Oryctolagus cuniculus: one gene and its partners. The protein of the gene in region 1 interacts with the protein of each later gene in a pairwise test. Links are inferred from orthologs where the notes say so. Each region holds a gene or a part of one and is shown in the gene's direction. Other genes may lie near its edges.

The links. The genes of interacting proteins can lie anywhere in the genome.
Region 2: the proteins of AP4B1 (region 1) and TEPSIN interact in binary tests that used the Homo sapiens proteins (3 or more experiments, as listed by UniProt). The link is inferred for Oryctolagus cuniculus from reciprocal best matches to the Homo sapiens genes AP4B1 and TEPSIN.
Region 3: the proteins of AP4B1 (region 1) and ZNF576 interact in binary tests that used the Homo sapiens proteins (3 or more experiments, as listed by UniProt). The two-hybrid records come from large-scale screens. The link is inferred for Oryctolagus cuniculus from reciprocal best matches to the Homo sapiens genes AP4B1 and ZNF576.

The regions. Positions count from the first base shown.
Region 1 is NC_091438.1:56,466,861-56,470,945, forward strand, and holds the start of AP4B1 (AP-4 complex subunit beta-1), read left to right. Parts: upstream 1-1,285; 5' UTR 1,286-1,419; intron 1,420-1,551; 5' UTR 1,552-1,626; coding exon 1,627-1,739; intron 1,740-2,773; exon of another isoform or gene 2,774-3,020; intron 3,021-3,390; coding exon 3,391-3,615; intron 3,616-4,085. Other genes in the region: DCLRE1B (5' exonuclease Apollo), read right to left, coding at 1-24, 637-825.
Region 2 is NC_091448.1:1,342,181-1,346,427, forward strand, and holds the start of TEPSIN (AP-4 complex accessory subunit tepsin), read left to right. Parts: upstream 1-1,447; 5' UTR 1,448-1,551; coding exon 1,552-1,599; intron 1,600-1,972; coding exon 1,973-2,045; intron 2,046-2,175; coding exon 2,176-2,267; intron 2,268-2,826; coding exon 2,827-2,920; intron 2,921-3,701; coding exon 3,702-3,769; intron 3,770-4,247. Other genes in the region: NDUFAF8 (NADH dehydrogenase [ubiquinone] 1 alpha subcomplex assembly factor 8), read right to left, coding at 15-44, 942-1,052, 1,141-1,224. UniProt on the Homo sapiens protein: Associates with the adapter-like complex 4 (AP-4) and may therefore play a role in vesicular trafficking of proteins at the trans-Golgi network.
Region 3 is NC_091449.1:12,314,557-12,318,447, reverse strand, and holds ZNF576 (zinc finger protein 576), read left to right. Parts: upstream 1-1,321; 5' UTR 1,322-1,455; exon of another isoform or gene 1,456-1,622; intron 1,623-1,951; 5' UTR 1,952-1,967; coding exon 1,968-2,052; intron 2,053-2,678; coding exon 2,679-3,103; 3' UTR 3,104-3,391; downstream 3,392-3,891. Other genes in the region: IRGQ (immunity-related GTPase family Q protein), read right to left, coding at 273-799. UniProt on the Homo sapiens protein: May be involved in transcriptional regulation.

The DNA.
Region 1 (4,085 bases):
GGCTCGGATCCACTTCTTGGACACCTGGGGGAGCAACAGGGCATCCCTGGGACTATCCCGTATACAAACCAAGGAAAGCTGACAGAATCCTGAGTCACCCTGGGGCAGAAGCCGGGCTGAGGATTCCCAAGCATCCACCCATCCTCCTCCCGTTCCCCACCCTGCCCTTCAGACAACTTCCAAGCATTCAGAAAACAATCCAGTCAAGGATTCTCAGATTTTCTCCAGGTCCTAATAATCCCTTGAGGCAACTGTTAAAAAAAAAAAATTCCAGCCAGATTTTTAGGATCCACACCAACCTACTGAATCAGATCGGGGGGCGTGGGAGGGGGCTGGACGATGTCTATTTCCCCAGCCTAGGTGGATTAAGATAAGACACGTTTAGGAAACATGGGCCTAGTTTATGGGAAAAGGTAGGGATAATTTCTGTGGGTGGGCTGAAAGGTTTCCCCAACTAAAATACTCAAATCGGTGAGTTGGAAGCCACGCTCGGCTGGATTCAAACTACTCCACATTTGTCAAAATCAGCCGTCCGGGGGGCCCACTCTGATTCCCAAGGCTGTGACAGGTCAGAATTCCCCACCCGGACGCCAGGACCAGCTCTGCGGAGGCCGACTCCGGTCCCCTGCCCCGTACCTGTCGCTGACGATGCAAGAGGTGGGCAGTGATTGGGGAGCAGTAGAGGGGCCGGGCCCAGGTGCTGGACAGGCCGACCGTGTGGTCCGAGTGCATGTGGGATAAAAAGAAAAGCCGCGCGCTACCAGCCCGGCGCAGGCTCCAGAAGTCCACAGCAATGGGCGTGTGCGGGATCAGGACCCCGTTCATGGTGGCGGGGCTCGAGTCACCGGTGGGGTCTTCCTGGGAACTGCGTTCCAGCGCCAGGCTTCCACCACGGCGCCTCAGACGTCATGCTGGGGCAGGAACTGGGCCACGGGCCCTAAGGGAAAAGTCAGCTCAGTAGAGAAGGCGCTAGAGTGGGCACCGTCGGAGCCAGGACGCAAACCGCGGAAGACGCGGCACAGAGAGCCACTCCTTCCCGCGCGGGAGCCCAGGGCCGGCCCCAGCACTCAAAGCGCGCGCTGCAGGGAGGAGACAGGCCGAAGCAGCCGATTTCCGATGGCCCGCCGCAGCTCCACCAGAGGTAGCCTCGCGGCTGCGCTGAAAGGTGAGAGGTTGGGGGAAGGGCATCCCTAAGGTCGGGATCGCCACCGCGCTCGGCGCTCGCAGGGAGAGGCAACTGCTAGAGGAGGGCCCTCCGCGAGGGGGCGGGACTTCCGCCGACAGCGCGATTGGGCCTATCGGAGCCGGCAAGAAAGGCTGGAACTGGAGAGGGCGGGGTTGTCCGCGGCGGGGTTGCAAATAGGACGCGGGGCCTAGAGGTAGCGGGTGTGATTTGTAGGCGGAGCGATCGGCCTGCAGGTGCGGGGTGAGGTCTGAAGGGCCCGGGGCGGAGGGAGGGAGCTCCCCAGGGTGCGAGGCTCCCAGGACTCGGGCTCCGGCTCCGGGGTGGGGTGGGGTGTCTTCTCCCTGACCGACGTTTCCTTCGTTCAGGCTCCGCATCAGGACCTGAAGGCGTCCACGCTTTGCCGGGGCGCGGTGGGAAGTGGCCCGAGACTGTTGGCGAGGATGCCTTACTTAGGCTCGGAGGACGTGGTGAAGGAGCTGAAGAAGGCTCTGTGTAACCCTCACATTCAGGCTGATAGGCTGCGCTACCGGAACGTCATCCAGCGAGTGATTAGGTACCGCCCACTGCCCCCCAGCCCCTGGGAAGGAGTGCACGCCGTCACCCGCGGCGGTTGTGCGGTGGGGGTTTCCTCCTGCTTCTCAGGAGCGTGCTGGTGGGAGAGCCCCGGGCTCAGGCTGTAACAGGCACACTGAACCGCCGACTTCCGGATCTGGGATAATGTTTAGCACAGACCTCCTTTTGTTGCTTCAGATGCCCTTGTCCTACTGCCTGCCTGGCATTTCCACCAGGATAGTTCATCAAAGGTTTGCCCAAAAGAGCACCAAGGTCCTTCCCCCAGCCCCGAACCTGCTCTTCCGCTTGTGTCTGTGTCAATGAGGGACGCCAGCCGGCCGTCTGTATGAGTCAACCTTGGCACCTGAGCCTCACTTCTCTTGTCAGCTGGGATGATCTCACAGTTCTAAACATCCAGCCTCTCCGCGTCTCTCTCTCTTATTGGCACTGCTGGTGTTCTGGTTCAGGCCTTCATTACCAAAGCCAATTGCAATAGCTAACTAGTAGGTCACCTTGCCCCATTTAAGTCAGAATGTTTCCACTGTAACAAATCTGAACACATAATTCATGCCTACAGCTGTGGTTCACAGAATTTACTATGCACAAAAGCCCCCTCGGATGCCTTTTTAAAAATATATGTATTTTGGCCGGCGCGCGGCTCACTAGGCTAATCCTCCACCTTGCGGTGCCGGCACACAGGGTTCTAGTCCTGGTCGGGGCGCCGGATTCTGTCCCGGTTGCCCCTCTTCCAGGCCAGCTCTCTGCTGTGGCCAGGGAGTGCAGTGGAGGATGGCCCAAGTCCTTGGGCCCTGCACCCCATGGGAGACCAGGAGAAGTACCTGGCTCCTGCCATTGGATCAGCGCGGTGCGCCGGCCGCAGCGCACTGGCCGCGGTGGCCATTGGAGGGTGAACCAATGGCAAAAGGAAGACCTTTCTCTCTGTCTCTCTCACTGTCCACTCTGCCTATCAAAAAAAAAAAAAATATATATATATATGTATTTTTCATCCTGTCTAACAATGGATTCTGATTTCAGTAGAGTGGGATGGAACCCAAGAATCTGTAATCTACAGAATGAGGTCCAAGCTTACTGTAAGCACCCAGCGACCACCCTGCTGATTCAGCTACTCCGAAAGAATGCAGCCTTCTTTCCCACGTTGTAGCATCGCCTCTCTGTCACATCTGCCACGAACTCCTGCTCATTCAGTCGAAGTATTACTTCCTCTGAGAAGCATTTTCTGGCTTCCTGTCTGGGTTGAACCTCTGGGTCCCCTCTGAACCTTGTAGGTTACTTTTGTTTAAATAGCTTAGCTATGGTACTATAATTAGTTTATTCTTGTCTCCCTCCTTAATAGGCTTTGGGTTTCTGGAGGCCTGAGATCATGATTCCCCCCCCCCCCCCCCAAGAGTATGTCCCTAGAGTATTTTCCTGGAATGTAAGAGCTGAATTTCACTGGGATGGACTAGGCATTTAGTAAGTTTGCTGAATGAATAGAACGATGTTTATTGCAGGCCCGTGGTGTGAAGTATTGTGTGTAGACCTGTGCGCTTTCCAGGAGATCATGCACTAGCTGGAGAATGTATAAGGAGAATAGTCTTGTATGTTGGGGATTTTGCAGTTCCCTTCCTCCTGCCATGTTCTCTTGGTTTCAGGCACATGACACAGGGCTTGGACGTGTCTGGTGTTTTCATGGAAATGGTGAAGGCCAGTGCCACTGTAGATATTGTTCAGAAGAAATTGGTTTATCTGTACATGTGCACATATGCCCCCCTGAAACCAGATCTGGCGCTCCTGGCCATCAACACACTGTGCAAAGACTGCTCAGATCCTAACCCGATGGTGCGAGGGTTGGCACTACGGAGCATGTGTAGCCTCAGGTGAGCACCCTCATCTCTACCTGGCCCTCTGTAGCTAATGAATTCAGAAAGTCACAAGGGCAGGAGTGTTTGGCCTGGTGGTTATGATACTGGCCAAGATGTCTGTATCCCACGCAAGAGTACCTGGGTTTGAGTCCTGGCTTTGGTTCCCAATTCCAGCTCCTTGCTAATGCAGTTTCTGGGAGGCACCAGGTAATGGCTCAAGTATGCGGCCCTGTCACCCACATGGAAGATCTGCATCAAGTTCCTGCCTTCCAGCTTTGGACCCATCCAGCCCTGGCTGTTGCTGGCCTTTGGGAAGTAAACCAATGGACAGGAGCTCTATCTCTCTTGTTTCTCTGCCTCTGAGAAATCAAAAGAAGAAAAAAAAAAAGGTCATGAGGCAGATTTTTAAGGAAGTTTATTTGAGCTCCTTAAATCTGGGGAAAACACTGCTGTACTCTGACTGAGCTCAGATTTCCAGCCATTAG
Region 2 (4,247 bases), on another chromosome or scaffold:
GGCGGCCGGTCCTCCTAGCGGCCTCCCTGTGGCGCCTTCCTGGCCTGAAAGCAAGCACAGGCGCCTGTTAGCAGGGGGGAGAGGCCCCCCGGCCCCCGCTCGCTCCCCAGTGCCCACGACAGCCGGGCCGGGTCTCCCTCAGGGGCCGTCCGCTGCCTTCCCGGGCTGCGCCAGGCTCAGCCCCCGCGCCCGGGGCCACGGTCAGGGCTGGGGGCCGGGGTCAGCGCTCCTGCTCGTCCGCGCAGGACGACGGAGCCAGGACGCCCACCATCTGCTGCCCCGTCTGCTTCAGGCTCTGGGCACCACCGCGCCCAGGCCCCTCCTCCTGACCCTGGACCCGGGGCTCGCAGGAGGCAGCCCAAAGCCCCTCCCGCAGGGTCACAGGCAGGAGGCCAGCGTCCTCGGAGTCCCTGTGAGACGCTGGGAAGACAGAGGCTGGCCGGGTCCGGCTGGGCAGTCCTGGTCAGCCCCGGCCGGCGGCAGAGCAAACAGGGCGCGTGACCTGCGCCTCGAGACGCCGGGGGTCTGGGGGCTGCTGCGGCTCCTGTCCTGAGACCCCGCCCTGGCTGGGCGCCGCGAGACCCCCACAGCCACAGCCCACCCACCGGATCCGCAGGGCGGGGCCAGAGCGCCTCTCCACACCCGGCTTCCCGGGCCGGGGTCTCCAGCAGCGGGGCCCCTGCGGTCCCAGCCCTGGGCACAGCGCCCGCCGGGTCCTCTCCGGCCCGCGGGGTCCCCGCAAACGGCGCCACGGCGACCACCACCTGCACCCCGAGCTGGGCCGCTCACGCCCGCGGTCAGAGGGGGCGGCGGGGCCCGCACGGGCAGCTGCGACCCAGGGCGGGGTCTTCGTGTCCGCCCCGCGGCCCCGCACACCCGCGCCCTGCCGACGCCAGAGCCCACAGGCGGCCACGGAGGAGCGGGGGGCCGCGTCCACCTACCGCGGCGGCAACGCAGCTCCGCAGGGCTTCGAACTCCCGCACGCACAGGTCCTTGCTCAGGCGGCCGCCCGGGGCCGTGGAGGCCTGCACGCAGCGGCCGTACGCGGCGGCCTGCGGAGAAAGGCGCTGTCATCCCTGCTCCAGCGCTGACCGCCGCTCGCCCTCCCGGCCTCCGCCCCGACCCGTCCAGGCTCCTCACCTCGGCCCCGCACGCTGCCAGGCGTTCAGGGAAGGCGCGGAGGCGGCTCCGCACGCGCCCCCACACTGCGCCGTTCGCCGACATGAGCGGCACCTGCTGACATCCACGGGCGCCGCCATCTTGGTCCGTCCTCTTCCGGCGTCCAACAGCTTGATAGGTTGGCGCCTCCACCCATTATGCTCCCTGCGAATCCTAATTGGCGTGGCTTCCCGGGCCTCGGGTCCTGTAATTGGCTGTTGTCCTCGTCTGTCCCGGTCCTGGACTTCGGATTGGTACAGGCTCAATTTGTTTACGAGGCCAGTCTCAGGACCCGCCCCCCACCAGCGATTGGTGGTAGGAGTCAGGCCCGCACGGTGATTGGAGGGCCCAGGGCCTGGCGGAAGCGGGGCAGGCCGGGCGGTGACCGCGACCATGGCGGCCGCCCCGCCGCTGCGGGACCGCCTGAGCTTCCTGCACCGGGTGAGCGACGCAGCCCCGCCCGGCCCCAGCCCTCTTGGCGAGCGCACGGGGCGAGCGGAGCCGCGCTCCGAGAGAGGGAGGACCGCGGGCGGCGGGCGGCGGGCAGTGCCCGAGGGACTGCGGCGCGAACCGCGGGCGGCGGGCGCTCCCCGATGGCTGCGTTCCAGGGCGTCCGGAGGGGCGGAGGGGGACGCGGCCGTCGCCCCCCAGCTGAGGCTCCGGGGGGAGACGCCGCCGCCGGCCGCCCCGGGCGCTCGCTGACCGCAGCCGCGGGGGCCGGGCCGGGGTCCCGGGGCCGCCCAGGAGGCCGGGCGCTCGGCCTCGGCTGCGGGCCAGCGCGCCCCGCGGTGACGGAGGGCTCTTGACCCCGCAGCTGCCGCTGCTTCTGAGGGGGACGTCGGACGACGCCGTGCCGTGCCCGGGCTACCTGTTCGAGGAGATCGCCAGTATCCTTCCGCGTCCCGGCGCGCCCGGGCGCCCTCGGACCCGGGGTGGGGGGCCCAGCGCTGGCCCTGGGTGACTGACCCCTGGGGGCGGCCGGCTCAGCCTGCTGCTTCCCTAACGCGTGCGCCCCAGAAATCTCGCACGAGTCCCTGGGCAGCAGCCAGTGCCTGCTGGAGTACCTGCTGAGCCGGCTGCACAGCTCCTCCGGCCACGTGAAGCTCAAGGTGCGGGCCGGCGTCCAGGAGGCCGGCGGGGCGGGGGGACGGACGGGGCCCTGGGGAGGCCGGCGGGGACGGGCGGGGCCCTGGGGAGGCCGGCAGGGACGGACGGGGCCCTGGGGAGGCCGGCGGGGTCGGAGAGTCCTGGGGAGGCCGGCGGGGACGGACGGGGCCCTGGGGAGGCCGGCGGGGTCGGAGAGTCCTGGGGTGGCCGGCGGGGTGGGGGATGGACGGGGCCCTGGGGAGGCCGGCGGGGTCGGAGGGTCCTGGGGAGGCCGGCGGGGTGGGGGGGCCTGGGGAGGCCGGCGGGGTCGGAGGGTCCTGGGGAGACCAGCGGGGTGGGGGGGCCCTGGGGAGGCCGGCGGGGACGGACGGGGCCCTGGGGAGGCCGGCGGTGGGCGGAGGGTCCTGGGGAGACCAGCGGGGTGGGGGGGCCCTGGGGAGGCCGGCGGGGTGGGGGGCCCTGGGGAGGCCGGCGGTGGGCGGAGGGGCAGACGGGGCCTGGCGGCCGCGAGGAGGGGGTCCTGTGCAGCCCACAGCCCGCGTGACTGCGCCCCGCCCCCAGGTGCTGAAGATCCTGCGCTACCTGTGTGGCCACGGCTCCTCCTCGTGCCTGCTCATCCTCCGGCGCAACTCGGCCTTCATCCAGGAAGCCACAGGTGTGGCCGCAGGCCGGTGCCCTGACTCGTGGCCGGCACACAGCCCGGGCGGGGGACGGGGCCGCGGGGCAGGTGCAGCCGTGCGGCGCTGGCCTGGGTGGTCCCCACGGCGGCCTCGGCGGCCCAAGGCGGGGACGGCGGCCCAAGGCGGGGACGCAGCACGCCCCGCGGGAGGGACAGCCCCTTCCCGGCCGTGGTGGCCGCTCCCGGCTCTGCCCGCAGGGAGCAGTCGGGGCTCCTGCTGCGGTGTCTGGCCGCGCGGGGTGTGGGGGCGCTAGGGAGGTCCCCTCGCTCACGCAGCCAGCAGGTGCGTCCCTGGGGGCGGGGCTGGCGCTGTGGGGGGGGGGTGGAGCCACCGGAGGCCTGCGTCCACTGTCTCGGCTGCCAGCTGCCCGCCCTGGGCTGAGCACAGATCCAGCCCGGGGAAGGGGGCAGGGGCAGAGCAGAGGGGTGACGGGCGAGATTCGGGTGCGCTGGGGGCACCTGCTGAGAGGGGCTCTCGGGCGGGGCAGAGGTGGGCGCAGGCCCTGTGGCCTGTGCAGGGGCCCCCGGCAGGGAGAGCTTGGGGGACCGCGTCCCTGGGAAGCTTCACTTGGGTGGGACTCCCTTCCTGTGGGTGCTGACGGTGACTCCGCTGGGAGCTGGCTTGGTGGTTGCCGTGGAGACGGACCCCCACCCTGGGGTGGGGCAGAGCGCTCCCCGGGGTCCCGGGGGTGGGGCGGTGGCCCCCGTGGGCGGAGCAGCCCCGCTCAGCCCCGCCCCCTCTGCCTCCGTCCTGCAGTCTTCGCGGGGCCCCCCGACCCTCTGCACGGGAACAGCTTGTACCAGAAGGTGCGGGCGGCTGCCCAGGTGAGCCCAGGACCAGCGCCGCTCGCGGGGCCCGGGGAGCCGATGGCCGCCAGGCGTCCACTGGGCGCTCCTGTTCCCTGCCGCCCAGGACCCCAGCTGTGCTCCGCGGCTGCAGCAGAGCCGAGTCCGGCTGGCGGTCAGAAGTGTCGGCTGGAGTGGCTGGGCCGGGGGCAGGCAGCAGGGGGCGGGGACGGAGGGGCGGGGGCGGGGACAGCAGGCAGCAGGGGGCGGGGACGGAGGGGCGGGGGCAGGCAGTGGAGGGCGGGGACAGCAGGCGGCAGGGGGCGGGGACGGAGGGGCGGGGTCAGGCAGCAGGGGGCGGGGTCAGGGGCGGGGGCGGGGACAAGCAGCAGGGGGCGGGGGCAGGGGGCGGGGACGGAGGGGTGGGGACAAGCAGCAGGGGGCGGGGACGAAGGGGCGGGGACAAGCAGCAGGGGGCGGGGACGGAGGGGCGGGGGCAGGCAGCAGGGGGCGGGGA
Region 3 (3,891 bases), on another chromosome or scaffold:
CCGGTCTGGGGGCAGTGTTTGGGTGATAAATCTGACCTCCCCCAGAACTGTCGCTAGGAAGGGGGGCTTGTGACTGGGGAGGGGGTCAGGACCTCCAGGGGTCTTGGCCCCGGGGGGCTCACTTGGGGTGCAGCCTCCTGACCTCCCCCCCCACACTGAGGGGCTGAGCCTGGAGGAGCCTTGCGACCCTCAAAGGGCACAGTGACGGGGTGGGTGGGACACCTACAATGGGGCCCAGGCCTCCCCAGCCCAGCCTGAGACCCGGCGCTCACCTCTGCAGCGCCTCCGCCCGGCTCCGCAACGCCCCCCACAGGCGCTCCAGCTCCTCGCAGTCCTCGCTGCCAGCCCAGTCCGCAGGCAGCACGAACAGGGCGGCCGCCCCCAGCCCCGCGCGGTCCAGCAGGGCAGCGGTCTGCTCCCGCGTCTGCGCGTCACTCTGCGAAGCCCCGGGACGCAGCGCCCGCACGGCCAGCAGCGGGGCTCCCCGGGCGAGGGCAGCCCGCGCCGCCTCGCCCAGCGCCGGTGCCAAGGGCTCCCCACTGCCCTCGGCTCCGGGCAGCACCAGCACCAGCACGTCGGCCTCGGCCGCCCAGGGCCCGGGCGCGGCGGGCGGGCAGCTCAGCTCGCCCAGGAAGAGCCCGGGGCCTGCGGCTCTCAGCCTGGGCACGCCGGCGTCCGGCCGTCCCTCGGGGATTTCCACCAGGTCCACACTGCTGCACAGCGCCCCGATGAGCGCGGACTTGCCGGCCCCCGGGGGCCCCAGGAACAGGGCGGTCACGTCGCCCCTGGGCGGAGGCATGGCTGGAAGGCAAGGGGGGACGGCCGGCCGCGGTCACGGGGCACCCAGACTCCGGGCCCCTCCTCCCAGCGCCCAGGCCCCCCGGCCCCCGCTCTGCCTCCTCTCCGGCCATTGCCCCTTTCTATCCTCACCCCTCCTCCCTCCCGGATCACCCGCCCGGGAGCGCCGACGCACCTGTGAGCACAGCTGGCGGCGGCCTCGCCCCTGCGGAGCTGGGCTCTGAGGCGTGGGCGCCGGGACGCGTCCGCCAGGCCCTGCGCTGACGTCACTCAGGCCGCAGAGACTCGACCTTCCTCGCGGCGCCTGCGCAGGACGGCCGCACTGCCCGAGCGCCCCTAACAATGCGCGGGCCACAGCGCCTGCGCACTCGCGCGTAGCGCTTCGGCTTGTACGGCACGGCGGCCGCAACGTCATCATAACGCGTCGCAGTGCAAGGAAGGACCTCCGAGCTCCCCCACTGCCCGTTATTTGGAGGCCCGGGTTGGCGACTGTACTACTGCCGGATGGCAACTACGGGCTCGGCTTCGAGAGGCACCTCAGGCGGAAGCTTCGGAAGCTGCGGGAACCCCGAAATGCCACGGGCCCTACCTCGCTTCCCTGTGGGTGGCGGCGCTGTGGGGCGCCAGTGACAGGCACAGCGCGAGGCAGCCTCTGCTGTACGGAGAGGAGCGGAGGCCGGGGCGACCCGCCTGGGGAGCCGGGGGCCCAAGGCAGTGCTTGCAGGACAGTGAGGCCGGCAGCGCGTGCGGGCGGCGGGGACTCTGGGTGGAGCACCCCAGGATGGCAGAGAAGCGTGTCTTCCGGGGAGAGGCAGGCTGAAGGGGTGGGTGCCGCTGAGGCTGATGGCAGTCCAGGGTCCCACGCTCTGAGTTCAGGGAGTTGGTTTGGTGCAGCGGGAACACAGGTCACACAAGCGAGCAGGCTTTAGGGGAGCCACAGACGCGGGGAGTCCAAGCCTCTAGGTTTGAGCTTCTCTGGGGACGGCTCCATCAGAAAGAGTTCAAGGAGATGGGTACATCTTGGGGGGGGGGTCAAAGGTGGGCGAGGAGCAGCTCTGTCGATGGCGGAGGTCGTGGGATTGGCGGGCCCTCCAGGGCTGGGGACAGCCGAGCGGCCTCACTCCTCACTCATAAGGGCTCCTCCCTTGACCAGAGGGGCCGCGGTCACCATGGAGGACCCGCACCCTGAGGAGACCTTGGAGCCGCAGGAGTCGCCCAGCGAGAGGCGTCCCGGCCGCCCGGGGGGCCGCATCTGTGAGTACAGGGGCGCCGTCCAGTGTCTGGGTCCGGGGCCTGGGGTGGCCCCTGAGCTGCCCTGCTCTGGCCGCACAAGCGAGAGGAGGGTGCAGCCGGGACAGGGTGGCTTGCAGGAGAGGCTCGGCGGGAGATGCGGACGGTTCAGCTCAGCCCTGCCCTTGACTTTTCCCGAGACTGGAGCCCCCGTGCCCCTGGGCCCACGGCTGCCGCTGCCCACCGCGCACGGCTTTCGTGGGGCCGCCTCCGGCCAGTGGAGCAAGGCAGGCTGACGGGGAGCAGCCCCTGCCCCCCGGGCAGGATGCATTCACCCCCGGGACCTCACTCCGTCACCAAGTGGGCACTAGGACTTTGGGTGAGAGCCGGGGCAGAGAGGTCCCGCGGCCAGGCCAGCGCCCGTACCTGCCCAGGAAGTGTCCCGGGCAGCGTGGCTCAGAGGGCAGCGCGACTCTCGGGGTCACCTCCGGGTCCGGTGACCTCGGTGGGCCTGAGTCCACTCGTCCATAATAAGGCAGGCCCTCAACGGTCCCGTCCAGCCCGCCATGGGCGTCGTGGGTGTGGGTCTGGGGCTTGGGGGAGGCCTGGAGACCCCCGGTGGGCGACCCCCGCCTCTCCGCCTCGCGCAGGCCCCCTGGAGGCCCCGCAGTGCAGCCGCTGCCTCATCACCTTCGCCGACTCCAAGTTCCAGGAGCGCCACCTGAAGCGGGAGCACCCCGCCGACTTCGTGGCCCAGAAGCTGCAGGGGGCGCTCTTCGTCTGCTTCACCTGCGCCCGCGCCTTCCTCTCCTCCGAGGCCCTGATCGCCCACCAGCGGAGCCACGGCCCCGCCGCGCGAGCGCCCCCTGCAGGTGCACCCGCCGCCGCCGCCGCCGCGCAGGCCCGCTTCGCGTGTCCCGACTGCGGCAAGGCCTTCGCGCAGGCCGGCTCTCTGCGGAGACACCGGCAGGTGCACGAGGCCCGCACCTTCGCCTGCACCGAGTGTGGCCAGGATTTTGCCCAGGAGGCAGGGCTGCACCAGCACTACATCCGGCACGCTCGGGGGGAGCTCTGAGTGCAGCCTGAGCCCTCCCCGCGGCGATGGGGGCGCTAGGGCTGGTGGGGCCCATCTAAGGTGGGGGGTGGAGGTCCCCAGGGGGGGCTGGGCGGCTAAGCGTCCCTCCCCAGGAAGGCGAGGGCTCGTGACGCACAGGACCTGGAAGATTCTGCGCTGTGGAGGACGTGGGGCCCGTAGGGAGCCGTGAGATCAGATCATCGTTGAGAGCTTTTGTTTTTAAAAAATGAGCAAGAGGGAAATTTTATTTTTATCTCCCTCATTCCCAATTAAAGAGCTAGCTGCAGATTGCGTAATCACCTTTAATTCTCCCCAGATGGATGCCATGGGCTGTCAGGGCACCGTGCCTTGGATCTGTGCCTGGATGGGGGCGGGGAAGGGAGGCGACGCTACTGGGCGAGCCCCTCTTGAGGAGGGGAGGCGACGCTGAGAGCTCACCCCGAGGCATTGCGGGGGTGGCGCCTGCAGTGGAGGCCTTGTCTCTCCCCACTCAGAGGGGCCCCGGCGTTGAAGTGGCACCAGCCGGAGACAGCTTAGGGCTCCTTAAAATAATTCTGTGAGCGCTTCTCGTCACGGAGTGTTTTCTGTGCGTGAGCAAGCTAGCAGGCGCAGCCTCTAAAAACAGGCGCCAGAGGAAGACGTCTGCGCAGGGCAGCTCCGGCCTTTGGACAAGAAACCCACCATCCCCCCAGCACACTCAGGGCCGGGAGGGGGCGCTCAGGGCAGAGCTGGCCGAGCGCTGGAGGGAAACTGGCTTGGAGTCCAACAGAGACGCCGGCTGTTGTGTT